2 linked regions of the Lonchura striata genome follow. Each later gene encodes a partner of the first gene's protein in a complex. Links are inferred from orthologs where the notes say so. Each region holds a gene or a part of one and is shown in the gene's direction. Other genes may lie near its edges. The genes, in order: CFAP36 and ARL3.

What was found.
Region 2: the proteins of CFAP36 (region 1) and ARL3 are in contact, whole or in part, in a crystal structure (PDB 4ZI3), measured with the Mus musculus proteins. The link is inferred for Lonchura striata from reciprocal best matches to the Homo sapiens genes CFAP36 and ARL3. Residues at the interface, in NP_080016.1 of Mus musculus: Glu44, Glu45, Ser46, Lys47, Leu48, Thr51, Glu52, Lys58, Val61, Glu62, Leu65, Glu76, Phe79, Gln80, Cys83, Thr84, Ala88, Lys89, Leu97, Val100, Leu101, Ala103, Glu104, Asp105, Phe106, Thr107, Ile108; in NP_062692.1 of Mus musculus: Leu3, Leu4, Ile6, Leu7, Arg8, Lys9, Leu10, Lys11, Ser12, Arg19, Lys35, Glu40, Pro47, Thr48, Gln49, Gly50, Phe51, Asn52, Ile53, Lys54, Trp66, Ile74, Tyr77, Ser80, Tyr81.

The regions. Positions count from the first base shown.
Region 1 is NC_134605.1:27,065,577-27,081,315, reverse strand, and holds the start of CFAP36 (cilia- and flagella-associated protein 36), read left to right. Parts: upstream 1-7,151; 5' UTR 7,152-7,202; coding exon 7,203-7,317; intron 7,318-10,833; coding exon 10,834-10,898; intron 10,899-11,793; coding exon 11,794-11,895; intron 11,896-13,686; coding exon 13,687-13,801; intron 13,802-14,729; coding exon 14,730-14,817; intron 14,818-15,450; coding exon 15,451-15,502; intron 15,503-15,739. UniProt on the Homo sapiens protein: May act as an effector for ARL3.
Region 2 is NC_134609.1:20,178,260-20,193,916, reverse strand, and holds the start of ARL3 (ADP-ribosylation factor-like protein 3), read left to right. Parts: upstream 1-7,024; 5' UTR 7,025-7,119; coding exon 7,120-7,122; intron 7,123-15,657. Other genes in the region: SFXN2 (sideroflexin-2), read right to left, coding at 1,084-1,183, 1,574-1,621, 1,859-1,908, 2,206-2,255, 2,801-2,867, 2,939-2,999, 3,651-3,736, 3,814-3,889 and 3 more. UniProt on the Homo sapiens protein: Small GTP-binding protein which cycles between an inactive GDP-bound and an active GTP-bound form, and the rate of cycling is regulated by guanine nucleotide exchange factors (GEF) and GTPase-activating proteins (GAP).

The DNA.
Region 1 (15,739 bases):
ATGTCGGGGGGACTATTTGTGATGAGGCTGTAAGAAGACCTGGGTGGGCTGGCTGTGCAGATGGATACGGTGGCAGAGCCGGCAAGCCTGGAAGTGGTGTTCTCAGCGGTGGTGGCGGCGGGGCTTCTTCGGCCAGAACTGGAGGCTTTGGCACTGCTGTGGGGGGATGCGGGGACGTCGGCTGGGCGTAGACCGTGGCATGGGGCACGTGGGAAGCAGGGGGCTGCATCAGAGGCGCAGTGGGGGTGGCTTGGAGCGGGTGGTCGGGGAGTAACGCGAACTGCACAAGCATGGGGCGCGTCACAAGGTCCACCTGGTGAGCCATGATGGTGGCCGCATCTACCGAGTGGCTGGAGGGCTCAGGTTCGGGGGCCGGGGTCGGGGCCAGGCAGCCAGAGGGCTCTTGCACAGGGGCTGGTGTTGGGGCCGGGTGGCCAGAGGGCTGCCGCGTGTTCACAGGTGCGGGAGGTATCAGGGGCACGTTACGGAGCCCTGCGGCATCTCCCTGTGTTGGGGGTGGTTGGGCTGGGGTGGCAGCGCAGGGCCTCCAGCCAGACGCTGCTGCGGCGCTGGGACCGGGGGTATGGTCGCGTGGTTCCGCGGCGCGGGTGACGCTGCTTCCCGGGCCTCAGGGATACCTGCGGGAGACGGCGGCGGCAGCGAGATGGCTGCGGCAAGCGCCGGTTCTATTGCTTGTAAAAAACGCGGCCACGTGGTTTTGTAACAGGCCAGCAAAGGTGGTGAACGCTGCTGCCAAAGATGCCACTGAGGGGACGGGCGCGGCCAAGGGACCCATGGCGGAGGAGGGGGTGGGGCGGCTGCAAGGGCCACAGGGGCTGCGGGGGGACACAGGGGTCATCAGAAACCACGCGAACCAGCAAAGCGGCTGCCGCCGGCTTCCGTGAAGCAAACAAATTGGCTACAGTCCGAAAAGCCGGGAGCAAATCACAAGCATCGGGATCCCCGCGTGAAATATCAATAAAAAGTCTATTTCCAACTGAGTCCCAAAATTCTCTGGTAAAGACAGCTGACCGGTCAGCATTGGGGAAATTAAGCAGAATCCACTCCAGGAGGTTTTTTTAACTCTTTCTTAGACAAAGTACTGTTACGGCTACGTAAGACATGGTTAAGTTGCTTATAGAGATCTGTATCAGGGGCAGAGTGGGATTGTTGTAGAATTGTGTGTGCACTGTATATCCCCTCATAATGGTTTGTCCCTCCATATCCCCTCTTTGTACCTGTTTGGTTCATCCCAGCTTTCCCATCAGTACCTGTATGTCCATCAAACCCCAACCCATCCCCGTCTCCTCCCAGGTGATGTGTCCATCACCTGGTGACCCTTCCCCTTTTTCCAGATCCTTCTCCCAGGGTCACCAGGTAACTGGATCCTGGCTGGAACTCCTCCCCAACCCCCTCCTCAGTGGTCACTCTGAGGCCTTGCCCCCAGAGAGCCGCTCCCATGTCCTTCCCCCATTGCCTGCTCAGTTTTCCCCGCTCCCCTATATCTGGCTTCTCTGGGCCGGGAGACCCTCTCTCTTGCTCTGGATGTCCTTCGAAGCCAGATGTGGCCTGGGATCTCTCCAGGCCCTCATTAAACTTTGGAACTAATCCTGAGGGAGAGAGCCTCTTTCCTTTGCTTGTGCAACCAGCTCGTCTTTGGACTCACGTGGGAGCTTCTCCAAGCCCCCCGGGATCTGAGGAGAAGTTCCTTCCCTCTGCCCACCTCGCCCCACTGCCCAGCTGGCCAGGCTCCACAGGGCATCTGTTCCCGTGGATTCGAGAGGGAGACCTGTGTAGCTCACCTCAATGTCACAAAAGCAGGATCCTCTGTGGAGTTCCGACGTACTGTCCAGTCAGTGCTCAGGACTCTGTGGGAGGTCCTCCTCAAGATCTCCAGTATCAGGCGTCTCTCAGGGATGGCTTTTCCATGCTCGGGACCCCCAGACTCCCCCTCAGGGCTCCAGCGCGGGCAGTGCTAGGCAGTGCTCTCTGCGCTCTCTGCACGTGGCGGTGTGCCACAGGGCTCCTCACAGAGCTCCGGGTCTCTGCTGCTCTGCAGCGTTCCCTGTGCTCAAGGCGGAGAATCCTCCAAGAGCTCCGAAAACTCACTACTTGGTAACGAGTCATGGTGCTCGAGGATTGCCTCAGCAATTTTTTTAAGAGCTCCGGCAACGAAATGCCGTGCTCACGACACCGATGAGGGAGTACAACAGGTTATTTAGTTACCGTCCATGGAGAAGTCTCCCACAGGTAAAAAACCTGGAGAGGTTTCCAGAGATGTGTGGGTTCGTATTCCTCGCTGGGCGCCAGTCTGTAGGGTACACTGTGAGCAGGATGGTTTAGGTGAATGGAGACAAGAGATCTCTGAAGGCTGCTCTTGGGATATAAGGTTTATTAGGGATGCAGAAAGGTCCTGCTTCGAGCTGCCAGATGCAGCACGTGGTGAAGCTTAAGGAGATGGGGGAGGGGAGAGACAGGAGGATGCTCTAGGAAAGGGTGGAGGTCCTATGAGGGGGAAGATCCAAGAGAGGGTGTTGCCCCTCGGAGACCCCTTATCAGGGGGCTTCAAGGTGGGCTGGAACAAGACTTGGGCCAATGGGGTTACAGGCACTTGATGTTTTAGGGGAGGGTTACAGGTGTGGGGTGAGCCATACATTTTGGGGGGTGAGACGGAACAGTCCACTTGACCCCTGGACCCATCCATAGGCAAGGGCATTGTCTGGCTAGCAGAGAGGACTGTTCTCATCCTGGCTGTATTATTTATTAATAATTATATTTATCCATCCTTCCCAACATTTCTGTTTCAGCAGTAGAAAGCAGTTTCTGTGAGGCACTCCAGTGTATCGTTTTCCTTGGGATTTTTCTTTGTCTTTTATAATCAACAATACAATGCAATTAGCCAACATTCTTGGGGGCAACTGAAACATGTGGGTAATAAAACTCAGAAATGCAAACTCCAGTCTTCCCCAGAGCCCCCAGAACCAGCACTTTGTCTTTAAATACCTTCTTGTAAGCCAAGCCCTGAGGTAACACTAAATGACTCAAACCAAACTCATGTCTTAAATAAATTCTCTCTTGCACTGTGCAGTCAAGGAAACTCCAAGGCTGGGCAGCCTTCAGACCTCTTCTAGTCCCACTGCACACATAGCCCCAGGTAACACTAATCAGTAATCCTAATATTGAGGAGTCCTTTTTAAGAGAAGTTCTACAAAGAAATTAAAAATGCACAATTCTCACAGTGGTAAAAACTGAAGAGAAAGAGAAATGTGTTTGTGTGTAGGAGTCTTTCTACATAGCTTTCATAACTCTTGGCTGAAGGTGTTAGAAGATGGACTTATGTAGAAAGTCTCCTAAGCTCAGAAATAAAGATCTTTCCCCAAAATCAATACACAACTGAAGGTTATATTTTTTCTTTTTTACCTATTATTATCATGGATTTGTGGCAACCATGTTCCCTGACCTTTCTCGCACACTTATTCCACAATGAATAAAATGCCCATGCATCTGGCAGTTTATTATTTTACTATTTCTAACGATCTCATACCCTTATTGATACCATTTCATCCTCCACACATGCCATCTTTCTGGTTCATTGAAACTCTCCACTTCCAAAGAAAGGTCACAGGGCTTTTTCTTTTTCCTTTTTTAACCTGCTCATGGCTGCAGAACTCCATGCCAGAAGAGATTAGAATAACAAAACTCACTGGCTTCAGATCAAACCACAGGCTTCACCTTGCCGTAGTTCATCTTCCATCAATAACAATCAGCTGAAATTGGACAGAAAAATCTAAACTGTTACCAGACTTTTTGGAATTCAAGAGGTGTAGACACCACAGAAAAAGCAATGGTAAAAGCACTGCAGCAATTACTAGAACACCAGGTCAATGTGTGCGGAGAAAATCCCTATGAAAAGTGTACATGGGAATTAATCCTATTGTTGCTAAATAGACAACAAAATTTGCTTCAGGAAAATATATTAAATTAGGTGTATCAATAGACTTTCGGATAAACGTGTGAGTAAAATGTGCATGATTTGTGGAAAGTATAAAAATGAAAAAAAATCTAAAAAATAGAAGAAATAATATTCTTGTAGTTTTAGCGTCTTTTTTTCACAAGCTATAAAGAGAATGTATTAGATGTTGGACACTTGAGATACTTTTAAGATTAGATAATTTAGCTAAGAAGCATTATTGTAGAAAAGGCAATGGCATATGCTTATTATTGGATAATTATATTACGAATGGCCTCTCAGGCAGAATGGATCCTGTGATTACAGCCTTACATTTGTATAAAACCTTCAAGTCACAAGAGAAAAGAACAATTTTATAAAATGAAAGAAAATGACCTAAATAGGAAGATCTTTAGAAGTTCCAGCAGTGTGGTAGATAGGGACAGGTGAATGGAAGATTTTGGGATGTAACAGAAAGCAAGACCCTTCCCCCCTCATCCTGTGATATGTAATCCATCACCCCTGAGACAGGTAACCCCTCCTAACCCAGTAGTTTTCCACCCCTTATTAACCCTAGAGACCCTACCTTCTTCCTTTGACGTAGCAAAGCCCCCTTGACTATTTAACCTCACGAGATAAGGTAATAAAGGCCATTTGACCATCCACCACATTGGTGTCTGTGTATGTCTGTGGCCTGAGTGGCCCGGGCGAGGCCGGGCTGCCGTGCTGTCCCTTGAAACCAGGTCTTCTGCCTTCTCAGCAGAAGGCAACAAGCAGGAGCTCAATATCCCAGAGAGGAGGAAAACGAAGATAACTCACAATACCTTACTTGACTTTAGGCATTTCTTCAATGTGTCTGCATTGCTCAGAACCAATTTCTCTCCTAGTTTAGCTTTAACTAAAGTGCAGTGAAGTCCCTTAAGTATAACATAAGCTTTAACTAAAGTGCAGTGAAGTCCCTTAAGTATAACATACTTAATAAAAAATCTCCACAATAAATTGTTGCCAATGAGCATGAAGTGATTAGTGTTTTAATTTTCAACCTTTTATACAGAAATCACATTTAATTCTGTCTACTGGACTGAAAGAAAAGGTCTTTGCACCATAGGTTTTCAGAAGCTTGAGCTCGGTGTTCTCTTTGAGGTCAGATTTATTAAAAAAATCCCTCCAAAACTAAAATTTATAAAAAAAAATTTGGAAAAGTTGCATTAAGTTTACTAAGGTAAAAATATTTATAGCTGTTGCAGTATTAAGACTATTACAAACTAGGTGGATGGGAGAATTAAAGCCTAAACAAAAGAGTAAATAAAAATAATACTGTTTAACTGTTAATCTGATAATTGCACTTTTGCCAGTATCCTTTAAATTTCTCAAAAGCTACAAATTTATCCACATTGAAGAAATTAGAAGTGATGTAAAAACCACCTCTGCCATTAGCTAAGAAGTTTATCTGCCTCCCACTTTATTTATAAATAGATAAATAAATTTATAAATTCAGCAACAGATCAAAAATGGCTTTCTGCAAAAAGAAGTCAGTCTCAAGATTCTGGAATTTCAAACTTTATTATTGTGCTTGTGAGTGGAACCCACTGGATGTGAAGAGAGTTGGATACTGACATAAAGAATTCAGTGGAACATATATATATATATATTTGTATGTACGTCAAAATGTCTGAAGTAGCAACTTGCTCAGAGCAGACAGAAAATCAAGCAATAAATGCTTTTTGTGACTCAGCTAAGGGAGCATTTCCTGCTCCATCTTTTGTATTGTTAACAACTAAACCACCAACTCCAGTGTTTTGCCTGACATCTATGGACAGAACATGATCATATCAGGCAGTTTCCTGTGCGGTGATAAAACGGATTTGATTGCAGAGGACAGAATTTCCTCATACTCATTGCTGCAGCAATTTTTCTTGTAACTGTAATGAAATGCTTTAACTTTTTATGCAACAAATAGGAAGTGAATATCCTGCCATATTGCTGATGCTCTCCGACCACAAAACCAGCTACAGAAATGGAAGCGCTGATGGTGAAAAAAAGTGGCCTGCAAAAGGAAAATCTGAAGTTTTTCCAGTGCAGATTCTTATTTAAATGATGATCAGGTACTTCTCTGCAGTTCTGAGAGCATAGGATTGTTACCTTTGAGAAAAAACAGTGAGAAAATAAATAAGACTTTACCCAGCACTGAAACTTTGTGTAGGTAAAATCTCATTAATGACTACAAGAGCTCTTGAACAAGACCAAGCCTGATCCTGATGCAATGAACTAGAACTGCCACTGTTTGTGCTCATTAAAATATTTCAAAAAGGATGAAGAGGTTCTTTTTGGGTTTGTTGGGGTTTTTGGGGTTTGTTTTTTGGGTTTTTGTTTTGTTTTTTTTTTTTACTTACCAGTGACATGTACCAGTAAGACAAGCAATCATCCAGTATTAGAACATACATTTAAACTTTGAGAAAAACTTTTCAGTGTGTCAGCAGTGTAAAAGATGAGGACAGTGAGAGAAATTACCTTAATTTTAGTGGAGAAAAGGAATATACCACAATCACCAGCCCTAAGAAATACCCAAATGATTAAGTGTTAATTAATCCTTCTTACCCATCGCCTTGTAAATTATTTCCTAATTCTAAACTGTACGGTTTTTTCAAGATTACTAAACTACAAGTTGTCCGTGTTCTTATGAAGGCCTGATGAGCTATTAACATGAGAATTAGAGCACCACCTTCAACAACTGACATGGAACACGTTATTGTTTTCTCCACAATGTCACTGCTTTCTGCACATAATAAAATAGGCGATAACAGGAATTTTCCATTATCTGGGATATTTTTAAAATAAAATTCAAATATGCAAGCCCAACCTGGACTGTACTGTGAAAGTGCGAGTGAGAGGCGCTAGAACACCTGGGGATCTCCGGGAGGCGCAGGGCCAGTGCAAGGCGGCTTCTCAGGGCCGTGCCCCTCATATCCCGGCTATCCCCAGGCAGAGGGAAGCCTGCCTGAGCCGCCTGTTCCCGTATTCCCTCAACACTGGCGACTAACAACCACCGTAAAGTACTCGTTTCTTTCCTTTCCATTGCTGTACAGCACCCGCGAGTCGGGCGGCCGCTGCCAGCCCCGCTCCCGTTGCCGCCCTCCCCACTCCCCGCCCGCCGCAGCCGCCGGCCGCGCTTCCCGGGAATGCCGTGAGGGCGGCTCCCGGCCCCAGGACCCACCCCGTGACGCCGGTTGCCATAGTGGCCGCGCCGCTGGCCATGGCGGCCGAGGAGGAGGACGACGTGGAGTGGGTAGTGGACACCATCGCCGGGTTCCTGCGGGGGCCCGCCTGGTCCATCCCCATCCTGGAGTTCATGGAGCACAACTGCGAGGGTGAGGAGGGTGAGGGGGGCGGGCGGGGCCGGGCCCGGGCGCGGGGCGGCCCTGGGCGCCGGGGCGGGCGGGAGCGCCCTTGCCCGCCCGGCCGCGCCCCCGCCGGGCTCCCGGCGCCCGCCGCGTCCCCCGGGCCGGCCAGCCGTGTGTCGGAGGCGCCGTTCGCATCCATTAGCTCGCCCTCGGATTATGGCGTGAGCTCACGGCTGACGCCGAGCGGGCGCCGTACCTGCGGCGCCTCGGACCCCGGCACGGCCTCCAAAGCTCTCCCAGAGCCGGGAGCTGTCCTTAGGAAATTGGTCTGGACAACCGAGAGCGCCATCCGGTCAGTGCAACAGAGGAAGAGAAGGCTCAAAGTTAAATTCCTGCAATTATGCGAACGTTGTCAATTAAGAGGTGAAAATCCCTCAATTTTAGGAGCTCGCAAAAATGATAGTCAAAACTGTCAGTGATCACCGGCAACGTTTTGTAGGTGATCCTGTGGGTGAGTTTAGCTTGGAAGTAACTCCAGTTCAGACCTCCATTTCTTCCTTTGTCTTCTTGAGATAACCAAGGCATAATCTGGGGAGCAGCCTGGGTAAAGTGGAAGTACAGGCAGTGAGGGGGGGCCAGGATTGCCCTGTGGCCAGGGGAGGCCTGTGCAGGTTTGTATCTGCAGAGGGGGAAGGAGGAAGTAGACTCTCTGATGCAGAGATTTGGCTAAATTACTTCGGTTTACAGAACAACTTCTGCTGCCAAAAAACACCTGGATCCTTACAGTAGCAAAGTAATGACAATTTGGGCAGGTCTGAAAGCAGTGCCTAAGCCCTTTGGAAAAACAAAGGCAGCTTTTGTTTGTGATTTTTGGAAAAAAATCACCTTTCAGTTTCTCCCTGAATCGTTTCTACACCCCGCCCCCCCCCCCGCCCCCCCCAAACTCTGCACGAGGCACGACTGTAATGAGTCCATATGCCTTTCCCTCTTAAAACTGGGAAAAGAGAAAGGGAGAGCTCCTGGAGCCTTCACGGCGAGGACGGGCTAGAGAAACCTAGACTGGAAGCTTTGTCCTGGGAAGTCTGCCAAAACTTAGGGTGGGCCTAACATTCTGGTTGTCTTGCAAAGGTTTAGCTATCGAGGGAATTGATTTATCCCTCTCAGGAGCAATGATCCCTTCTCCTTAGAAGGTTGAGCGGAATTTACTGACAGTAAGAAGATTTGTAGAACCGCTGTAAATTTCCACCTAGTGTGAGGCAGGCTCGTAATGGTCACTTCCTGCTGGGCTGATTCCAGTGCTGGTTTTGTACTGACATACTTTGTCAGGACAGAGTCCTTTGCATTCCCAAAACATTTGATTTTGGGTTGGACTAGCAAATTAGGAGCACTCTGATTAACTGACAATAATTTGTGACTCCTCAAAAATACAGTTCAGGTTTTGGTAGTCAGTATGTGAGGAATTCATTTTACAACTGTAGTTACTTCGGCCAAGTCCTTGCACTTCAACTTCTAAACTTATTGTAATGGTTTTCTATCTGTTAGCAAGTGTTTGCTTCTCTCCCTCCCTCTTTCTGGGAACTTGATTAATTTCTTATTGCTTGGTTAACTTGCTTTTACGTCAAACTGAAATTAAATAGATGGGTGTGTATCATTCCATCTGAGGGGTCCTAGCCAAGATCTTCAGTTTTAACAAGAAGATAATGAGTGTCTCCCGGGACTTCTATGTCCCCTGGCTTGTCTTCATACTGTGGTTCTTAAGATTTTTATTCCTGGTGGGCGACCAAAGGCTGTGCCAAAACCTTAAGGAATAATGACTACGTGATTCAGAAGCCCTGACTCAAGAAAATCCAAGGTCTCTGTTCCAAGTAGTCCTTAAAGCCACTTAGCTGAGAGGAGATGCTGACTGCAGCTGGCTTTACTTGGCACTGAACTTGATCCCGTTGTGTCCTGAGCCCGGGGACAGAGTGTGCCAGCTTCGCACTCTGCTCTGCAGGAGGAACATCGCCTTGGCAGTGCCAGGCCAGCTGTCACCAAGGGGTGACATCCCTGTGCTTGGGATCCCCAGGGCAGGAAGGGTGGGGGAAAAAGGGACAGAGAAGCCAAGGTGAAAGCTGGGGTCTGCAATAGCTGGTAGCAATCCCCAGCCAGGAGGAGACAACAGAGGCTGTCAAGTGTCTTCACTTGTCAAGTTTAGTAATATGGTGGTTGCATAGAACTGATATCTATAATACCTTCCCTATAATTTGAATTTAATCCTAGATACGTGTAAGCCTTTTATTTTAATTTCTTCATTAAAAATTTTGCCTTGTGCAAAACCCCCAAGCAATGTTGGTTTTCCAAAGTATGATTAAAAACCAGATTTTCCTCTGCTTTTGGGGGACCTGAAATGTGTCATTGGATTTCTGTTATTGCACTTCTGTGTTAGAAAGTGATGCTGCTTTAGGAAGTGCCACCTCAGCTCACACTGTGTCCAGGTCTGGAGTGATGTGGCCTCAGGGCTGTCCCAACTGGGAAAGATGTTGGATGCCTTCAAAAAAAAGTCACTCTGAATTTGTGTGAAGGTTGCACTGGTTCCACGGCATCACCACCATCAGAGATGTCACATGTACATGAAGAATAAATCACACTCGTTCACCAATTTAAGCAGAATTCCCATTCTTCAAATGACTTCAAAGAATGTTCCTGGCAAGTGACTTGTCCAAGTGGCTAATCTTGAAGGGGATTGAGGCAGACTTATTTCTAAGCCTTTGCTTTAATTGCCAGGTTTTACTTTACCTCTCTTAGTTGTTGGCATGAAAAAAATGTACATTACCACCACCCCCCCACCCCTTAGTTTTCAGTTCCTCTCATTCTCAGCTTCTTCCAGATATTCTGCAGCATAGAGATCATGAGCTTGAGTAGTTCCAGTTACGGATTTTGATGTGAATTTACATTAATATGATTAATATGGACTTTAGTATCGGAATGTCCATTTTTCATAAATTACATTGATTTAACTAAAATATCACTTAACTGCACCACATTTTCTCTTTGGGTTTATCTGGTTTTGCAGGCAGGGACTCATTTCCCTGTATCACCTTGGTTTCTCACTACATGAATGACATTTAAAAGATGGTTCATGTCATTAATAAATATCTCTTCCATGTAAATACATGGAGAGTAAGAAATTTCCTGTCTGATCTGCCCTCCAGATCTGTCATCTGCCACCAAAGAACAACCTTACACAGAATCATAGGGGGTAGTTCTTATATTAAAACTTACCTTTTAGTGAATGTATCTGCTGAATCCTCAACTTGCTTACAAGTCTGTTATGAAGATACATTTTCCCAGTATTAAATTATGCAGCTTAATTGCTTTCAGTTATCAAAAGCACACACTTAGCCTGAGTTTGTGGAAAAACAGAGGACTTTGATAAATCATGGCCTATATTTTCATTGATTAAATATATTACCCTCTAAAGGTTAATCTTGCTGTTTAGGGTGTAAGTTAATTTGTGGTGGTTTGTACACTGACTGCAAAATGTTACTTCTTCCCCTTCCTCAGTTTTTGATGATGAAGAAGAAAGCAAGTTGTCTTACACAGAAATTTATCAGGAGTACCAAGCTCTGGTGAGCATTATTCACTGTCTGTGGTAAATTTCTAAGCAAAAGAATTTAAAATGTTATTTAACTGAGTATTTATATGAACTTCTAATTGGGTTATTATTGTTATTTAGTATTTTTCCAGATGTTATTCAGAAATCCTGTGAGTTGTAGTTGTCATGTGCATTTATATACCTAAAGACTAGGTACATAGAAAAGAAACTGTGACACACTCATAGCTCTTAGGCTGTTTTATATATTCATCATTAAAATTAATATATCCACAACCTTCAAGATTGTATTTACAAGCTTGATAATGTTATTTTCTATCAAATGAAAATGACAACCAGCAGGATGTCTGAAAACACTCACAACTTGTATTTTGTTCACCGATGAGTCTGGGAAATCTTTCGAATTATCTTTCAATTATCAGAAAAAATGACAGGAAAGTTTTGAAGCTTAAATACCTATCAAATAATACTTGCAGATTTCTAACACTTTCTGTAATGAGGCTGGGAAATACATGATACTAAAAAGCTTTGATTGAAGAAATACAAACCAACATTCATTTCTGCTCTGACCCTTAAGGCTTTCAGGCATAGACTGGCAAAAAGCCTTTTATTTTCATGAAAAAACCATGAGAAATAATAGCCAGGAATCTGGGGAAAAGGTACACGAGTGAGAGTCCTGGAAATTGGAGAAGATATGTTAAGGAATCATCAAATTTAGCAATAAAAATGCTCATTTTGAACAGTGCATGAAAGCAAATAAAGCTTGAAATCAGAAAAGTCAGTTATGCTATTTAGTGATTTTCCTTTGAGTTTATAAACCACATCAGCAGAAAAGAATAGACAATCATGACAAAAATTCCTCTGATTCTCAGGGAAAAACCTTAGAAGCTAAGGCTTATACTTTCTTACAGGTGGAGAGATTACTAGAGGACTACCTTAAAGAAGTTGGAATTAATGAGGAGAAATTTCAAGAAGCTTTTTCTTCTCCTCTTGCAAAGACCCACACCTCCCAGGTATTTGCTTTCATTAAGGAATATATGGATTTCATTCTCAGCTTGATGTTTTCCCTAACACAGCTGGCAGGAGATGAAACTTGGAAAAGTTTTAATGGTGAAATTGTTGTTTTCAATTGAACTACAGCTGTTTGCTTACACTGGTGTCATGGTTTGACACTGGCACAATGCCAGTGCCCCCATGAAAATGCAATCTCTCAAATAAATGCTGTGAAATGGAATTCAGAACAGAGCAAAGCAGGCCCAAGCTTAATAACAGGGAAAAAAAAACTTTATTAAGCTACTACTATAAAAGAAATAAAGGAAGGAAAAAGAAAAAAAACACACACAAAATTCAAAATTAAAACCTTGCAAAGCATTCCTCCTCCCACCACCCAACTCCAACAAACCACAGCAAGACACAATCTGGACCCCAATCAGGTTTCCACTCTCCAGACAATCAATACTCAGTCCATTGAGGGAGAGAGGAGCCTCTCCTGTGCCACAGACCCCCCAAGAAATACAGCTGCCACATCCTGTGCTTCCCTGTCACACATGGCACCACCCAGAGAAAAAGTTTGCCATGGTGACCCTTCGCCTTTCCATGCACAGTGCTCTCACCACCAATGCATGGATGGACAGACTGCTTTTAGGATTTTCCTTTCAAGGATGCCCTGCCAAGAGGGGAAAAAACAACAGTTCAGGTTTTTCCATTTTTTGGGACCACAGTACCCCCCCATTTTCCCCCTGGGGCCGAGGGTCCAAGAACAGAGATCTTCTTCTCTTCTTCTTTGAGGACAGGGGGCACCACCACAAACCTCCCTAACTTTTCTCTGTTTGCTCCACTTCTGTCTTCTCCCAGCTGAAGGAGGTCTCTTGGCTCACCGACATCCTCCTAAAATACAGTCTCTCTTGGAGGAGAAGATTGATTCAGTCGGTGGCTACCAAGGAAAAAGTCCAGCCAAAAGCCACTCCTTGTCCCCCTCTTATCTAAAATTTCTCCTTCTAACATCCCAGGGTCCAAGGTGTCTCTCTTCCTCTCTTTTCAAACCAAGGAGGGGGAAAAAAATTTCACAAAGCTTTCATTTCTAAAGGAAGGGTTAAAAGTCCCGACTCCCTGTCTGGCTCTCTGCCCAGGATCTGGCTCCCACAGCAGTGGCTGGGCACCTTGCGGCCCCTCCCCGCTCGCTCTTCTCCTTCCCCGCGGTGAAATTGCTGACAAGCCACCACTGCCAAGAGACTCTTGGGGCGGGGGGCAACAGAGACATCCCAGATTTTTTCTCCACCCTTCCATCTGCAGGGGGTTCCAGTCCCTCTACCCTTGGGCCCACCTCAGTCAGGCCATGGGCCTTCCCCTCCCCACCCAGCCACGGCCGGGCAGGGGAGAGGCTGCACTGCACGCTGACCAGAACCAAAGAGAGCGAGTTCCCCTGGGAATTCTGCTTTCAACCCCTCTGTGTTCTCAGAGGCGTGTCCACCTCCAATTGGTCAATATCCAAATTGACCTCTTCCTTCCAAGAAAAATGATTTTTCCATGTCAAACCACGACAACTGGGAAACCCAATTTTGTCATAATATTATAATATTGTCATAATGTTATTGCAGACATGTTGATCTAAAGATGTAACCCACCAAGTTATTTTCTTGACCATGAGCTCTTCTTGTATATCTGGAAAAACAGACAGATAGAATGAAATATAATTATTAAAAACATGCTCCCCAGAATTGAAAAATCCAGCTAATTTCAAACAGACTGAGCTGGTTAGGATTTCTGTGGGGGGTTTAATTTTGTGCATATCTTTCCTCCCACAGGCCATTCTGCAAACAGTGTTGGCAGCAGAAGATTTTAGACTGTTTAAAAAAATGATGGTACAGAAAAATATTGAAATGCAACTGCAAGCGATTCGAATCATCAAAGAAAGAAATGGTGAGAAGTGATGAATGTGGGGATTCTCTGAAGGTTTTTAGTGTTCTTTTGATGACTCTTTAAGCCATTCATAAATGAGTGTGGAATGCTGGTTCTGCTCCAGTTCAGGTTACAGGAAAACACCCTATTGATGATACTGGGACAGAGATTTCATTACTTAGTCCTTGGCTTGCACTCTTGGTGACAGCTGTCTGTACTGTAAAGTTAACAGATATTTCAGGTCTGTTTGTCTGAATTTCTTTGTGAAACTTGACTGAGTTTTCTGTTGCAGAATTTTAATGACATTTCTGAGCTAAGGCAGCTAGGGCAGTTCCTCAAAAGGAGCAATATCAATAGCTGTAATTCTGCTCCCTGCATGGCAAGGATGTTGTAGTGTCTGCTTACTGTGCAATTCACACTGAAAAATCCATTCAGGAAGTACAAGTTAAGGCCTTCATCATGCTCATACATGCATGAAAAAGAAGATGAAGAGAAAATAATCCACACCAAACTTCACTGCTCTGTTGATGCTTCTGAAAGGGTTTTAATCTCACTCCTTCCTTCTGTGTCTTTCATTGTACTTACTTCTTACTGTATGAGTGTTTGTCAGAGAATAATTTTTAAATTTCACCTTTCATATAACAGCTAGATTTGAGAGTGGTTCAGGTGGCCATTGCTGAATTGCAGCCTACAGGAAATGCCACATAATGGTCAATACAGAATTTGGCTTAACCTTTGAGGTCAAAACTTTCATTGCCAGAAATCTTTAACTTTTCTTAACAGGATTTAGGACATTTTCCTCTAGGATCTTTTTGGAAACAGTTTACATGGCTTTGGCTTTGTGAGTGTGATTTTCTTTTGTTTGGGTTTTTTTTAAATTTTCTTCTCTGCCAACTGGAGCACAAAATAATTTTCCTTAGAATAATGAATAAATCTTGTTTTTTTCCAGGTATATTGCCTGAGTGTTTGACAGAGGGTTCTGATGTATTCAGTGAAATTGAACAGGAAGAAATGAAAATACTCAGGGAGGTTCTAAGGTAAGAAATCAATCAGTCCAACTTTGTATATTATTTTAAAATACAGGTCTATAGGACCTGACTCTTCCAGCCTTTTCCAGGGAACCGCCATCATCTTAGAGATAACAGGAACATTCTTGTCAATATCCAGCCTGAGGGAATATGAGTGGTGCTGGGCAGTGGCTGTGCTCAGGAATATTGAAATAGTGAGTGAGAACTCTTGCTGTGATCTGAGATGCTTGAGACCAGTACAACTTCTGCAGATTCTCCCCCACTCCCAGTTCACAGACACAAAATAATAGGAGATGAGTCCATCCAGGTTATATTTGATAAAGCTATTTTCCCTCTGGATTCTGGGAATACTTCCCTTCCTGTCTTCAAATTAGCAAATTAAATAAAGGGGTAGGTAAGTCCTGGAAATTCTTACACAATTATTTCAGCACAAAGGTAGTTGAGGACAGTGGGCACTTGTGTGTTTATCCCAGTATTTATTTCTATTAAGACTTAAGTCATGGAAACATTTTAGATACTGACAAATTCACATTACCTTGTAATTGCTTTGATACTCCTCAAATATTTAAGCAGTGTTAAACTTCCCTGAAAATCACTACCACTAAATGAGTTTTGAGTATTTACTCATGTTTATTGTTTCAGAAAATCTAAGGAAGAGTATGAAATAGAGCAAGAGAGAAAGAGGACTGAAGAAGTGAGTATCTTACCTTTGTATATGAGTTATGGGGATGATTAAGAAATCCCCTGATATTCTGTCTTGGCTGTGCCCAGATCCCTTCCAGGCCATGTGTTCCATCAATGAAGTATCCCACAAGAAGCACATTCCCTGCTCAGCACCTGAATCCTGAAATCCTGCTAATGGGTGTCAGCATTTCAGATCCAGAGAGCAGCTGAATTGCTGATATTGTCAGGATCAAAGAGCCTTCAAAGT
Region 2 (15,657 bases), on another chromosome or scaffold:
AAGACTGAGAGGGATCTCATCTATGCATATAAATGTCTCAAAGGCAGGTGCCAAGAGGATGGTCCCAGGCCCTTTCAAGTGGTGCCCAGCAACAGGACAAGGAACAATGGCCATAAACTAAACCACAAGAAGTTCCACCTCAACATGAGGAAGAAATTCTTTACACATTGAGGATAGCAAAGCACTGGAACAGGCTGCCCAGGCAGGTTGTGGAGTCTCCCTCTCGGGAAATACTCAAAACTCGCCTGGATGCATTCCTGTGTAACCTGCTCCAATGACCCTGCCTCAGCAGGGGGGCTGGAATAGATGACCTCCAGAGGTCCTTCCAACCCTAACAATTCTGTGATTTCTGTCTTCTTCCCCATGTCAAAGAGGGCACAGAGACAATCGTCCCCTAAAGCTGCAGTTTCATGGTTCTGCTGTGGGGACCAGAGATGCAGGACAAGGGTGACAGTGCTCAGCGGAATGAAAAAATTAGAGCTAAAAACAATTAGCTATTTCTTTCCTGGCTTGTGGCAAACACAGAGTCAATAGAACCTGAACCTGAGAGCAAGGAATGCATAGTCCAAGCATTGGTCTCTGGATTTTGGAATGGTCACTCTCATGGTGCAGAGAGAAAAGGTCCTTTTACACCTGCCAAGACATGATCTGTCTCTTGGGAAGAGTGGTGGTTTAAGGCAGGAATGTGGTTTGGTTGCTGGTACAATGGCAGGATATCTGCATTTGGAGGTAGAACTGCTCTGAGCCACAAGGGAGAGAACCTCATGGGGCCAAACCCAGTGAGGCCAAGACAGGCTGGGCCAAAGGAAGGCACAGGAAGCACAGGCATCCCTCAGGGCAAGAGGGACATGCAAAGGCTGAGACATGGCCAGCAGCAGATGGGCATGGGTCAGAATCAGCCAAAGTGCTGCAAGCTGGACACAGAGTCAGATCCTGATTCTACAGTGGAAAAAGGCTGCAGAGAAGGTTCTGGGTGGGGGCACAGATCTGGGCTGGACTGTGCCTCTGACCGTGCTCAGGGGACGTGGGAATGGTGGTGGCAGGAGGCCAGAGGGGAGTGATGGCTCCTGAGGTAGTCTTCATTCACAGTCCTTTGTTAAAATAGACATACGGCACTTTGTCCCCGTGCTTGGCCATGATACTGTCACGCAGCTCCACCTCAAGGTCAGCCAGTGCAAGGGAGCTGTGGAGAGGGAGATACACACTGAGAGCCATGATCCTTCTCCTCAACCAGCAGTCAAACCATCCTCCCTTCCCATTGCCATCTGAGGCCTCTGCAGACCCTGGGATCTTGCAGGCTCATGGAAAGACCCATCACCCTTCCCTCCCAGTGCTGGAAAGCAGAGAGCTGCCCATGGAGCTGGATGTCCTGTTGCTCCCAGCACAGAGCTCACAGAGCAGGGGAGGCACATGCTTTCCTGCTGCCCTGGGCACCAGTGTGTGCAGGCAGGCACTGCCTTGGGTTAAAGGGTGGGTGCCCATCACACTTCTCCTGGGATGGGCAGAGAGGAACTAGGGAAGGAAGGAGGCTCCTGAGATCCCATGCAGGAGGGGGAAACAGTGGAAGAGGTACCATCGCTGGGGGAAGAGGGCACAGGCTGCTGGCACCATGAACAGGAGGCTGTGGGACAGAGAAGAGCAGAGCATTAGTCCTGGGGATCCCAGCCTGTTTGCCCTTCAGCCACAGGGATTTCAGCCCAAGAAGTGCTGTTCACACCCCATGACTCCCAATAATTGGGCAAAGTCCAAGCTGAAAGGTAAGCAGCTTTGCAATTTCTTCTGGGAAAGTATTTTTTCAAGCATTTCGTTGGAGCCATACTCCAGGCACTCACAGGTGATTGAGCAGTGAGATACTTACAAGCCCCCACAGAGCAGCACCTGCAAAGGTCCATGGAGAACCCGGATCCGCTGCAAGAGAAGAGCCAGGACTGAGTCCCTGGCCTCGCTACAAGACCCACTCACAGGGTGAGCAGACTTCTCCCCTCAGTAGGGCTGAATGCCCAACACCTCTGGTGTGCACCAAACCCTGCCACCCTCTCATAGCCTCCCACGTCACTTGAGAGGCCATTGGTTGTATCAATGACTAAAGTAGGGAGCAGAGCAAGCCGGGCTCTGCAAATCCCCATTTGATCCCCAGCATATCAGCAGCAGGGAAGCTGGGCCGGAGCACCACAGAACCCACTGGCAGGGGAAACATGCACTCACCTGCATGAAGGTGAATTTCTCCAGCCGCTCCATGATGATAGGCAAAATAACTAGGCACAGAGAGCAAAGGTCAGCCCAGATCCCAGAACAGCTATCCTGCTAGCCAGCCTGCAGGGCTGTCCCAGCAGGACCATCCACCTGGAGGCCGTGGAAGCAGCTAGTTATGCTGGGGGCAACTGGGTGTTTGCTGACAGCAAGGACCTAACACAAGACCCCCACACATCCATCACTCGGGCAGCATGGTCTGTGTTCCTCATGTTCCTGTCCGTCCTTCTGGGCTTGTCAAGGGTCTCAGGAGCAGAGGGGGTGCTGGGCTGCAGGGTGAGGGGCTAGGGCCAGAGAGCATGAGATGCATCCTTGTGGGGCCAAACTGCCATAGGAGCACTCCCTGTCTCCCAGGCTGTGGTTTGGCATGGAGGGGGCTGGGGGCTTGGGGACCTCTGATGGGAATGGCCGGATGAGGAGAGAAAATGCCATCTGGGACGCAGGGCCACCCTCCCTCTTTTTCATGAGGGAAACTGAAGCAGGGGCAGGCAAGGTGGCGGGTCCTGGAAAATCCCCAGTTCAGCTGTGCACCCTCCTGTCCCACACTCACTCATGCCTGGTGCTGCCATGGTGATCCTGGAGAGCACAACCTGCGCAATGCCCTTCACTGCTGCCCTCTGCAAGCAAAATCAGCAGGTGAGCCCCGGCAGCGCCGTGCCCCAGCCCAAATCCCCATCCTCAGACTCACCCTGGAGCAGCCGAGCTCATTGTTGTTCTCATCTGTCACTGTGATCCCGTTGATGATCTCCCTGAAGGGGACAGGCAGCCGTGAGTGGGGGACAGGATGGCCGGGAAAGCATAGGGACACAGTAACGGGGTGAGGGGGTGCCAGGGGAGTCCTTTTTACACAGTAGCCCCGGATGCCCCCAGGGCACGGGGCTCCAGCACCCCGGGGCACCACGGTCCCCAGCCCAGCCGATGCTGCCATCTTCAGGGCACAGCTGCGAGCAGGATCTGGCCATGCTAGGGACAGACACAGCTGAGCCAGGGCACAGTCCCTCACGCAGTACCTGAGCTCCTTGTGCTGTGATAACCAAGCAGCAGGCACAGGTCACAACAAAGACCCCAACTGGGGTGTCCCAGCATCAAGATATAATGGACTGGGGTTCTCCCATGACATGCAGGAGATCTTTGGGTTTGAGAGATCTTCCAGCACGGATTCCAGAGCAGCTATCCTCAGCCGAAAATCCCCCTCCTGGGTGGAGGCTGAACCATCCCACCCAGCACCCTGCACCACAGATACAGCACTGCAAATGCACAGACCCCAGTTCATCTCTCTCCAGCTCTCAAGAGGGGAATCCAAGGCAGGGAGGGCAGGCAGCCCAGGAGCTTGGCTGCCACCAGTTTGCCTTTGGAGGGAGCTGGGTCCCTCAAGCCCCCCAGCCACATGTGACACTTACTGTTGCCGCATCATGGGGATATTGACACAATTGGCAGCAGCCACAGCTGCAAAGGGGACCCAGCGGGCCAGCAAGGGTGGGGCTCGCTGTGAGAAACAGGTTGGCATCAGCACGGGAGAGCAGGATGTGCCCAGCTGCCCCACCTGGCCCTAGCCTGGCATACCTTGGTGTAGAGGTTGAGTCCCACTGCAGTGGCCAGGGCTGCACCAGTGGCCGTGACATAAGCCACCCCAATTTGCCTGGACAGCAATTTCAAAGAAGAGAGATAACAGAATCACCAACTCGGACTCAGCCCTGTTCCTTCTGTGCCCAAGACACAGCACAGAGGGTCTTTATAGGGCATCCAGGGGTGCATCAAATGGACACACTCCACCCTGTTGGGCTGCTCACCTCAGAGAGATGGGGGAGGCAGCGTTGCGGTTGGTGTAGTTGACAAAGGCATTGAAAGACTGGTTCACCCACTGCCAGAAAACCACGGCAGGCACTGTCCTGTGGAGGGAAGGGATGGGAGAGCACCTGAGGGCTGTCAGGGACACCTGGCCTGTGCCTGTGGCCAGGCTTGGCAGGGAGACAGCCAGGATGCCTGCAATCCACTCATCATGATGTCTCCAAAGGGAAACTGAGGAACTGTGGCAAAGTGACAAGCTAGTGGCAGAGCTGGGAAATGATCCCAGGAGTTCTGGTTACCCTGGGGACCATAGGAAGAGGAGGGCCCAGTCCTGCAAGGCACTTGGGCAGGGGTGGGAGACAGCTCTCAGCAGGGTGGCAGCCATCCTCTGCTGGGCTGAGATAAGCCTTTGTCAAAGCAAGCAGCAAGGCGCAGACACACAGGGACAGAAGTGGCTCTGGGGAATGAGGGTGCCTGGGTTTCTGTTGGTGTCTCAGGGACACTGACGTGGGGCAGGAAGGGACACAGGGAGCACGCTTTGGAATGCAGGGGAGTAGAGAAGGGAAATGCAGGGAGCTGTCAGCAGGGGCTGGGGATGCTGAAGCAGCCTGGCCTAGGGGCACATTTGTTCCTCAGTTTCAAAGACTGCTATGGGCCACAGACCAAGCGCAGCAGCCAAGCAGGATTTGGTTGCATTAATCATTACAGGGGCTATGGGAAGATGTCAGCTGAGCTCAGGGTGAGGTGAGACCATACCCAGCCATGCCATGGGCCAGAGGAATCTGTGATGCTTCTACCACAGGCTGGGTGCTGAGGACAGATCCCAGAGACATTGGGCTTGACCATGGGACACAGGCAAACACAGCAGCCATGGGCATGCCTTAGGCAGCACCCAGCCCCATAGAGGCAGGCTGGCTCTGCTCTGGCCATCAGGGACCTCGAGAGGGGCTAGGGGCTGTCAGGGCTGTCCCCAGGAGCTCACCGATAGAACTGGAGCATGCAGCCAGTGATGGCCATGCCCCCTGGCACCTGGAAGGACATCCTCCCAATGAGGTTCATCTTCTCACCGCTGTCAGGGTGGAAGGCTGAGTCGTACAGCTTCTTGGCATAGAGCAGCTGCTCCTGGCTGCTTCCTGGTGGCACCAACCCAGCCCTGCAAACCCAAAGCTCATCAGGGGAAGTTGCACAGACCTGCCAGCACCCAGCACTGCTGAGGCACAGAGCTCTGGGCACCACATGAAAGGCAGAGGAAACATCTCCAGAGAAGGATGCATGTCACAGCTTGAAGCTCCTGGGAGAAGCCTGGGAAACGCCCCCAAAACTACCTCCAACAGATGTTACATCACTGCACACCTGCTTGAGAATGACTCCATCCCCCTGCAACACTGCACAGTGGTTGGCATGGCCATGAGCACAGGGACAGCACCTCCCCCATCTGTATCCCTGCCTCTCACCTGCAGCCCTCCACCAGGGCCTTGGCCTGGTCCAGCTCCTCCTCTGGCACCAGCACTGTCCGAGGGTCGGTGATGTTGAGGAAGTGCTTCAGGCGGCCCACAAAGGTGCTCTGGTCCCAGCGTGGGGAGTCAATGTTGAAGCTAAGAGAAACTGTGGCCATCTTGGCGTAGGTCTGGGCAGGGAAAAAGGCCGCTCAGTAGGATCCTTTCTTGCTTGCTCATTGAGTGCACACCTGCCACAGCCACAGGAGCAGCTGGATGAGAGCCATGGCAGGTTTATGTTTAACAGGACAACTGGACTTTCAGCAGCCCTGAGCCAGGAGGCCCCTGCACTCCTGCTGTCAGCAGAACACTGCAGTCAGGCCACTCCTTCACACATCATCCTGCTTGCCTGGGGTCACCCCATTTGTGCTGCACCCCATAGCACCTCGCACCCCCTCCTTGGGGTGATATGGTGCTGTACAGCACTGTAGGGACCAGCTCAACCCTCCACAAGGCTGCCTTGCAGGCACTCCTACAGGGGCACTACTCTGCAGCCCCCGAGTATGCACAGCACCTCACACTGTGCTGTGCCTGCCACAGCACCATCCTGCACATCCCTCTAATGCTGCTCTGCACTGCCATGGCACTGCCCTGCATGCTCCCCGGGGTGCTGCGCCACATGCCCACAGTTGCACAGCACAGAATCACAGAATGAATTAGGCAGGGAAATACTTCTGAGATCATCTGGGCCCAGCCTATGACCAAACATCACCATGTCAACTACAGCATGGCTAACCTAGCCTAACCCTAGCCAAGTGCCATGTTCAGTCTTTCCTTAAACACCTCCAGGGACTGTGACTTCACCATCTCCTTCGGCTGTCCTTTTCAGTATCTAATCACGCTTCTGTAAAGGAATTCTTACTAATGTCCAGCCTGAACCTCTCCTGGCACAGCTTCAGACTGTATCCTCTCTCCTGTCGCTGGTTGCCTGGGAGAAGGGGCCCATTCCCACCTAGCTACAACCTCATTTAAAAGGTAGCTGTAGACAGCGATAAGGTCTCCGTGAGCCTCTTCTCCAGGTTAAACGCTCCCAGCTCCCTCAGCCACTCCTAAGACTTGAGCTCCAGACCCTTCGCCAATTTCCTTGCCCTTCTCTGTAAGGCACAGCAAAGCTCGGCACACCCCAGACTCGGCCCGGTATGGCACAGCCCCGGCACTCCTCCAGCGCGGCTGGGTCACGGCTTATGTCGGCCCGGCACGGCACGGCTCGGCACGGCACGGCCCGGCACGGCTCGGCACGGCACGGCCCGGCCCGGCACGGCACGGCCCGGCACGGCTCGGCACGGCACGGCACGGCTCGGCACGGCACGCCCCCGCCCCAGCCCGGCCCGCCGCGCCCCCACGTGTCCCCACCTGCGCTCCCAGGCCCCGCTCCCGCCTCCCGCCCCCGCGCTCCGCCGCGTGGCCGCCCTCAGCCAATCACAGAGCTCCGAGCGGCCGCGCCCACCTCTCCCGGCAGGGCCGGCCTCGTACGCACGCGCCGTTAGGGGGCGTGGCCCGGCGCTGGCCCCGCCCCCGGCGCGGGCACGTCGGCGCGCGGTGGGTGTGACGCAGTTGCCCATGGTAACCCCGGGCCGCGCCGAGGATGGTGAGCGGGGCGGGGGCCGGCGGGGCCGGGCCGGGCCGGGCTGGGCTGGGCCGGGCCGGGCTGGGCTGGGCTGAGCTGAGGTGAGGGCCGGGGCCAGCGCGGCCGGGGGTGCCTGAGGCCGTGGATGATCCCCCCGCGGAGCGTGGGGTGATGGGGGCTGCAGGGTCTGTCGGGCCCGGCCGGGCTCGTGGCAGGCACGGGCAGGCCTTGGGCCGTGAGAGGGGGTGCCAAGGCGATGGAACCAGGGCGGCCGAGCCAGGCTCTACTTGGTGCTGTCGGGCACTGGGGTAAGAGGTAACGGACAGAAACTGATGCACAGGAAATTCCACCTGAATACAAGAAAGAACTTTGCTGTGCGGGTGACCACACATTGGAACAGATTGCACAGAGAGTTTGTGGAGTCTCCCTCACTGGAGATATCCCAGAACCATCTGGACGCGATCCTGTGCCACGTGTTAAAGGATGACCACGCCTGAGTGGGACGTTGGAGCAGATGACCGACTGTGGTCCCTTGCAGCCTGACCCATCCTGTGACACCCACCCAGGGACCCTGGCTGGCCCGGGGTCCGAGTGCCCACCTGGGGCATCCAGCCAGGCATGGGGGCCTGGGGCTGTGCGGGTGCAGGCACCCGTAGAAAGGGATGAGAACAGTGCAAGTTTGGGGAAGACCCTGGCTGGGGTTGGGGCCCTGGCAACACACAGATGTTATGGGGAACATAAAAAAGGGGGTTGAGTCCGAAAAAAGGCAACAGAACTGGTGAAGGGCCTGGAGCACAAGTCCTGTGAGGAGTGGCTGAAGGAGCTGGGATTGTGTAGTGTGAAGAGGAGGAAACCCAGGGGTGACCTTATCCCTCTTCAGCTACCCAAAGGGAGGTCATAGACAGGTGAGGATTGGCCTCTTCTCCCATGTAGAAGTGACCCAAGTGACAGGACAGGGGAAAATAGCCTCGAGCTGTGCTGGGGAGATTCAGACTGGACATTAGGATGAATTTCTTCACAGAAAGGGTGATTGAACATTGTAAAGCACTGGCCAGGGAGGTGGTTCAATCACCATCCCTGGAAGGGTTTAGGGAGATTGGAAAGGTTGTACATGGCACTTGGTGCCATGCTCTAGTTGACATGTAAGTGTTCAGTCATAGGTTGGACTTGGTGATCTCAGAGGTGTTTTACAATCTAATTGATTTTGTGATTTTGTGAATCAGGTCTAGACAGAGGCCGGGAAGATGCTATGGGGGCTCTTTGTTGGGATGGAATCAGCATGCCTGGAGCTGATTCAGTCAAGGTGTAGAAGGTGTGATGCAGAGGTGGGTGCTTGGGAGGGCTGGGGACCAGGATGGCAGTGTCCTGAAGAGGGAAGGAGCAATGGAAGACCTTGGCAATTATGGAAGGCAGCGCTCAGAGATTGTCTGTGAAAAGTCTGGGAGCAGCTGTGACTCTAAAGGGACACTGGACAGCCCAGCCAAGATGGGAGGAGGCCACCGTGGGACTTGAATCCTGGCTGTAGAAATTGAGGGAGCTAGAGGACAGCTTGCTGAGGTGGAAGGGATGGTTTTTAATACACAGCCTGAGAAAGGGAGTTCAATCATGGCAGAGAGAGACTGGATGAAGGGGTTAGGTGTTCAGAGATGGCCAGGACAAAGTGCTCAGAGGCTGAAAGAAAACTGCCAGTTGGATGGGATGGACCGTCTGGTGAGTCAGTGGGAAAAAAACAGTCAATGTTTGGCTGGCTAGGATAGTTTGCTGGGATGTTGTGTGCTCTGGGTTTTCTGCCATGGGCTGGCAAGATGAGGGACAGTCTAGGTTCAAAAGAAGAAATAAGAATAAACTGTAGGAAAGATTGGAAGTGGAGTTTTGATGTTGATGAAAGAAAGAAAGATCCCAGGGAGAAAAGAAGTGTTGGGTGATAGAAATAAATTGTTTGAGAGGTAGTAGCATGGAATGAAGGAAAAAACTGTGTGTCTTGGGTGGAGGGCAATGCTGGGAGACAGGTGAGGTGGTGAGGGTGTAGTGCAGTCTAAATTGAGGTTGGAGGAAGGTTGGAAGATAGACCAGGGTCATCCAGGTGTTGGAAACAATTTGGGTTTAGATGCCAAAGTAGTTGGGGTGGAACAAGTGGGATGCTGGCAAAGTGCAGCGAGGACTAGAAGGAGGGGTTGGAACTATGGGTGAGGGGTGGTGAGAGAGAGCTGCTGTGGATGTGGAGCCACTCATGAGGATGCTGCATGAAGAGCGAGCACAAGCAGAAGGCAATAGCAATAGGGAAGGATATTTCCCAAGGGCAAAGCTTTATTTTGTCCAGGAGCCCTCTGGACATAAGTTGGATTCATGCAAGTAGCGGGATTCATGCATGGGAGGAGGTGTAAGCAAGAGCACCAAAGGCAGCTTCTCATCTTCACTGGGTTAATTCTGGCTGCATCCCTACCTGCTGGGTCACAGAGAAGAAGATTGAGATAAAGCCTGTGGGATCTGCTCTATTTTAGATGAGTTGGTGATGGGGCATGTCACACCAGGCACCAAAGTCATCACAGGATGGGCATCTGCTATAAAGATGAGGCAGCTGCCTCCAGCAGTGCAGTGTTTTGTGAGACACATTTGGCTTGCAGCTGCCAGATCTACTCTTCTGCCTTATGATGTCCTGATAAGCTGGTGTAGTCTGGGATCTGGCTGCTCTTATCCAGGCACTTTGTGTGCAGAGAGGGTGACTGGGTGTTCACCAGTGTTCGTGTTATTTGATACAACATTTTACTGCCTCTTTTTCTATTTTCCATTTCTTGGAGTTGTTTTTTGAATTATAACCACTCAGACTCTAGGGTGGGTGGCACTTTGGGGTGCCTGGTGGGCTGGCTGGACTGGATAGAGGACTGGAGAGCAATGCACTATCTCTCTAGATTCTCATCTTTCACTAAAACAGAACAATCATTTGTGGTAGAAACTCCAAAACAGCAGCAAATACATTCAAAGCAGCTATGGCAGCCTGGGGGTATGGGTCAGCAGTCAGAAATCATCCAGACAGCTTGATGTAACAATTTACTGCTTGTCGTCTGAGCCATGGTAGCTGCCCATGAGCACGTTCCTACCATGTCCTGACTGCACTGGGAAGCGCTTAAAACTCCCCTCGATGTCTGCTTGCTCCAGCTCCAGTGATAAGAGGGTTAATGCTGAGGTTTAAATTATTTCAGTGTTCATCCAAGTGAGTAAGTACAGAGGGGCAGTGTCTTCTTCTGCAGAGCATACTAGGATTTCTCACAGCCATGGGGCAGGGGTGGTGGAAGGTTGTAGTTGGAGCACGGAGGGAAGGATGAGCCATAAAACTGCAAAGCAGGAGAGATGTGTAGTGCTGATAGTCTTTGGCTCCATTAAGCAGCATCTGCAGTGGGTGCATGGCAAGGACGAAGGGAGGCTGCTACATGAAAGGATATGCTGCTTTCCAAAGTTTAGGCAATACTGTGAAAAGCAGAGCTTGTGGCTTCCTCATCACAGTAATGCTTTCTATTGTCACTGCAATACCAATTTTTACCAAGACACATGGTATGTTCTTGATAGATGCTGGGGCCAGAAGATGGCTAGTGTTTTTCTAAAACCATTGATGGAAGATGACATCACTGTGTCAAAACCAGATTTGTCAAAGTGTGGCCCTGTTTTATAGTTGAGGAAACTGAGTTACAGAGTGCCTAGCTGACATAAGGCACATCTGGTGAAAAGGATAAAATACCAGCATAGCTAAATGCATAGTCAGGCATCTTTCTCCTGGTCTTGAGCTCATGTTTCTAGGTAAACCTGCATCTATATCTTGCCTGCTCTAGGCATACCTTATACTTAGAAATTCTTTATTTTATCCCTTGTTCCTTGTCAGTAAGGCTCTATTTAAAATGGCCCTATTAAAAATGCTTTCAAGGATTATAAGTGTCTCACTACTTCAGTTTTCAGTACAGTTCAATGTCATGTTTTTTGGTTTATTTTACTGATTGCTGAGAGGATGATATGAGAAATCACCTGCAGATAGGAAATTACACCAGTCACTGGCCAAGGCTTTGAAGTTCTGATACTAGACAGAGACTGCTGACATTGTCCAGTGCTAGGCATTGGCTCTTCTCTGCACAGGGTAAAATACTTCTTTCAAACCTGCTGAAACCGGGGGAGTTTGATTTTAATTATGAAAAGAGGATTCATGCTGGTATTGGTTTATGCATCAAACTGGGAAGTGCTGTGTGACCTCTTTAACAGAAAACTACATTAGTAGTTTGAGCTGGAAAAACTCTGTAGGTGACTCGACTCCGTTAAATTTTGGATTTCAATGCAGGAAAGAAAGTCTGCATTGAATGACACCATATGGTGGTGACATGCAGTAAGCAAATGATTTTTTGGGAGTTTTGCCAGAGTAAGAAGTATTGAATAAACTGTGCTCAATAGATTAATTTACTTCGGTTGTATTTTGAAAAAGACTGGATGATTTTATGACCATTAGTGACATTTGCAGTTCTGCAGCCGAAGATAAAGGTAATCAGACGTCATTCTTCAGGACACCAGCTAATCAGTGCAGTTGTCAGGAAGGACTCCCCTCCTCCAGCTCTGTCTGTGCAGGATTGCACCCTGGATGACAAATGTAGCCTCATATATCCCCTGTGCAAGGCAAGATATTTGGCTCAGCTAAGCCCCTCGTCCTTCCCTGTGTCAGCTTCTCCTGCGTGACTTTCTGAAATCACGTGTACCCTCTAACTTACACTTTGAAAATGGTGAACCGCTACCATATTGCTTAATAGAAAGTAAATAAATTGGTGCCCAGAGCTGTGCTAGGTGCTGTGCCGGCAGAGCACGGAGGTGCTCCCATGCCATGGAAATATGGTCTGTCTGGGGTGAGAGATAACCAACTGATATGAATAAGTAGAATCCAAGACAGGTTTGAACTTGACATGTTTGCTGCCTAAACCTCACCAAGGATTGTAGGTGTGGCAGAGAAGGAATTAGCAGAAGAATCATGGGCTGGTTTTATGGATATTTTGTGAAGTTTCTCCCACAGTTGTAGGAGAGTCACAGAAGTTTGTGAATAGAGCTCAGCAGTGCTGGGGAGCTGTAGGGAGACAGGAATTGTCATCTCAATGGCAAATGTGCTTGGCTGAGATGAGTCTTGAGGATTAAGTGATTTGTGGTTGCAGTAGTGGGGAAGAGGGCATCTCTGCAGAGGTGTAGAGATGGGAAAGATGTGGTTGTAATGGCAGGCTGAGCTGCTGAGCTTTGTGGCTCTGTTACATCTTGGTGAAGTGCATTGATTCTATCTAAATGTCCACATCTAGTAGATAAGCAATTGGTGGTGACTGAGGGTGGCTTTATTTTAAATTCATTATCTGAGCCTTGTGGCTGATAAAGTTAAACAGAATACATTTACTTCTCTTTCCTATTAAGAATCAACCGTGCTTTGCAGCAGCTTGTGGGCCACGCTTTTTATCCATGCCCCGTGTATCCAACCCTCAGTACAAGGGAGAATTGTTCTTTCTATTATGGTTTTATACTGCCAATCTGATACAATATTTAAACAGATTATCTCAATGCTCTGTTTGTCCCAAACCAATTTTTGCTTTGGCCGGTAAAGTGAATCTTCCTTTCAGTGGCTTCTGTGGTGCAGGATATAGTTACATACATCAACTAGTTCAAGAGACCCATATACTGAATGAATAAACCCACAAAACCCTTAGCTAGGACTATAAATGTCACAGTATTTTTATATATGTAGGATTTTTTTTTTTTGAGAGAGAATAGGATTACTGCATGCAGCTATAATTGAAAGTCCTTTGATAATTTGGTGGGTATTTTAAACCTAGCAATGATATACTTTCATAAAACCACGCATCCCTGTTTTCTGAAGGATGCTAATAAGATGGTTAGCTTTGCTTTCATGCTCAATGTGTTTATGAGTGCTCTTACCCATTTAGTTGCATCTTCGAATTTAATGCCCCACTCTGATTTCATAGTAATTGTCAGGAGTCTCTTTTTCTTTATTGTATGTTCCTGCTCGCTGTCTGGAAAATACAGTCTCCTCATTGCTGACCCCATCAGTCTGTCTCCTCACAGTGCTTGTAAAGAAAACCCTCTCCACCAAGGACAAAGATGTTTTTAAACAAGCCAATCTGATATAAGACATAGTTTGCTTAACCCAGAGGTGACCAAGAAGTGAATGCTGACTGACTGTGCCCAGCCTTGAGTTGCTCTGTCTGGCTGCCCTTCTCCAAAGGCTGTACACGCTGCCATGCTGTGCTGTTCATTATCTGAGCAGCATCTGCAGTTCCCTTCCCTATTGCAGATGCCGCAGTCTGCTTAGTTTTGTGCAGCTGACACGCTGCCCTTACACTCCTGTGAGGCATCTCTGCAGCTCCTCAGCTAGCTCACATCTACCGTGGCCTGCTCAAGATGTGTCCTGTTCTCACCCTGGACACTCCAGTGAGCAAGTGCCACAGGCCTGGCTGCTATGCAGGCATCCTGGGAATCCTCCCTTCTCGCGACTGGCTAAGTCCCAGCACGAGACATTTCTTACCTGCCCTGCTTCAAAAATCTGCTCCTCCTCTGTTGCTTCTGTGCATCCTCTTTGTACCAGATCTTCCCATTTCATGGCTTTCTACCTGACAGCTCCCACCAATAACAAGGCATTGCTTTCTGACTCTCCTCAGTCTGTTAGTTTCAGCATTGTGTTTGCCAGCAGAGGAGTGCTTGTCCATCAGTGTGTGTGCAATAGGGGCTGCTTGTCCCACATCGTGGTGATATGCAGCAGGGAACTCTGCTGAGTTATTTTTTACAATCTACTAAGCTGTCAGGAAATGCCTTCTGTCTTTCTAGCCAGTGTGCTCACAAGACCAATTAAAAAATTAAAAAGAAAAAAATGAGAAATGCATCTGAACATGGCTTTCCTTAGTTTTAAATCTTTGCTAACTACAGGGAGAATGCTGGATTCAAGTTTTAAATACTATTTACAAAATAGTAGCAGGAACCAATACTATTATTTGGCTCTTGATTTAAGTTGTTATATACAGAACGTGTAACCTACTCTGGCAGCTACTGAAATAAAGTCCATTTCTCTATGTTGTCTTGCTTGTCTTCCAGCCTTTTAAATCAGCTTACTTTATACCTTAGAGAATACTTTTATTTCTATATATATCTTCTCTTCTATTGGCTACCCCCGATAATCCTGTGATCAGCCATGCAGCAGTGTCACTTGAGTAGAATATGGAACGATGCTGATCGTTTTCTCATAGGCTGTCATACTGGCCCAGAAATAGCATCCATCTACAATGGGAGAAGCTCTATTAACATTTACAACTGTTCCTCTTCCCGACCCTTGAGAATTGCTCCGTGGTAGATAAGCAATACTTTGTAATACATTTCTTTGCGCTCAGTATTTTGGAGTTGAATTCTGAAATATAAAGGCACCTAATCCTGATCTGCTCTGGGATACACTGCTCTGCTCTTAGCAAGTGGAGCTGTGAATAGGATTAGCATTTCAACAGCTTCTTTTTTTAACTGTGAGCAATAAACTAAAATAATAGGGCCTGATTCAGAGCTCTCCAAAGTCGGCAGTAGTGCATTTGCTGATGTACACTGGCTTTGGGTCAGGCCCATAAGAATGGGAAATTCACTGTTTCCCTAGAAAGGAAGGAGAATGTGTGAATTTTAGAGTTCCTGCTCCTGTGGAGTCTGTCCACGCTGAGCATAAATCCACAGATTTACAAGCCAGCAAACACAACTGTAAATTGGAGGGCAGGTGAAAAGAAAATGTGTTGCTAGTCATGCAGTTAAAACTTGTGTTTTTTTAATGATGTCAAGGGCACTTAGGACATGCATATAAACAAGTAACCATTAGAGGTATTTTTGCTGTTCCTTTTCTCTTTCCTCAGACATGTGGAGGTGCAGACCATCATTGGGGCAGAACATGGCTTGGGCACTGTGGCCAGGGAGATCAGCTGTTGGGCTGGCAGGGTTTGCAGTGGCTGGCTGCACTGAACACAGCCCTTCAAATTCATTAGCCATGGCCCCATGGGTGAGAGCCAGCTGTGAGCATCTGTCCCTCAGGGCCCTGCACGTGGTGTTACAGGCCTGTACACTTCAACTAAAAGCTATTTGGGGATTTACTGTGCCTGTGCCGGTGCCTGTTCTGAGCAGGCATGGCACCCTCTACCAAGCAGAGCCCATTTCTAATTCACAGCTCTTGAGCAGGGCCTGGAGTCCCAGTTTTTTACATGGCTATCACCTATGAAATAGGTGATGATACCTTCAGCCTGCTTATTGGGCAGTAAGACTGCAGTTCTGCTGTTGCTTGCACAAGCTCTGAATTTCTGAACCTCAGCTTTCCACAGTGCTTTTTAGAAGCACAGCAACAGTGGCAATCCTGCAGCTTTCTACAGATACCTTTCAAACCCAGTTTTACTAAGTTCCTTCTCTCCTCTCTGTTTCTTACACATCACACATGTATTTTGAGCTGTAGCTCGGAATTTAACAGAGACCCATTAAATTCCTCTGAAATCAAAAATGCTTACAGGGGTGGATGAGGTG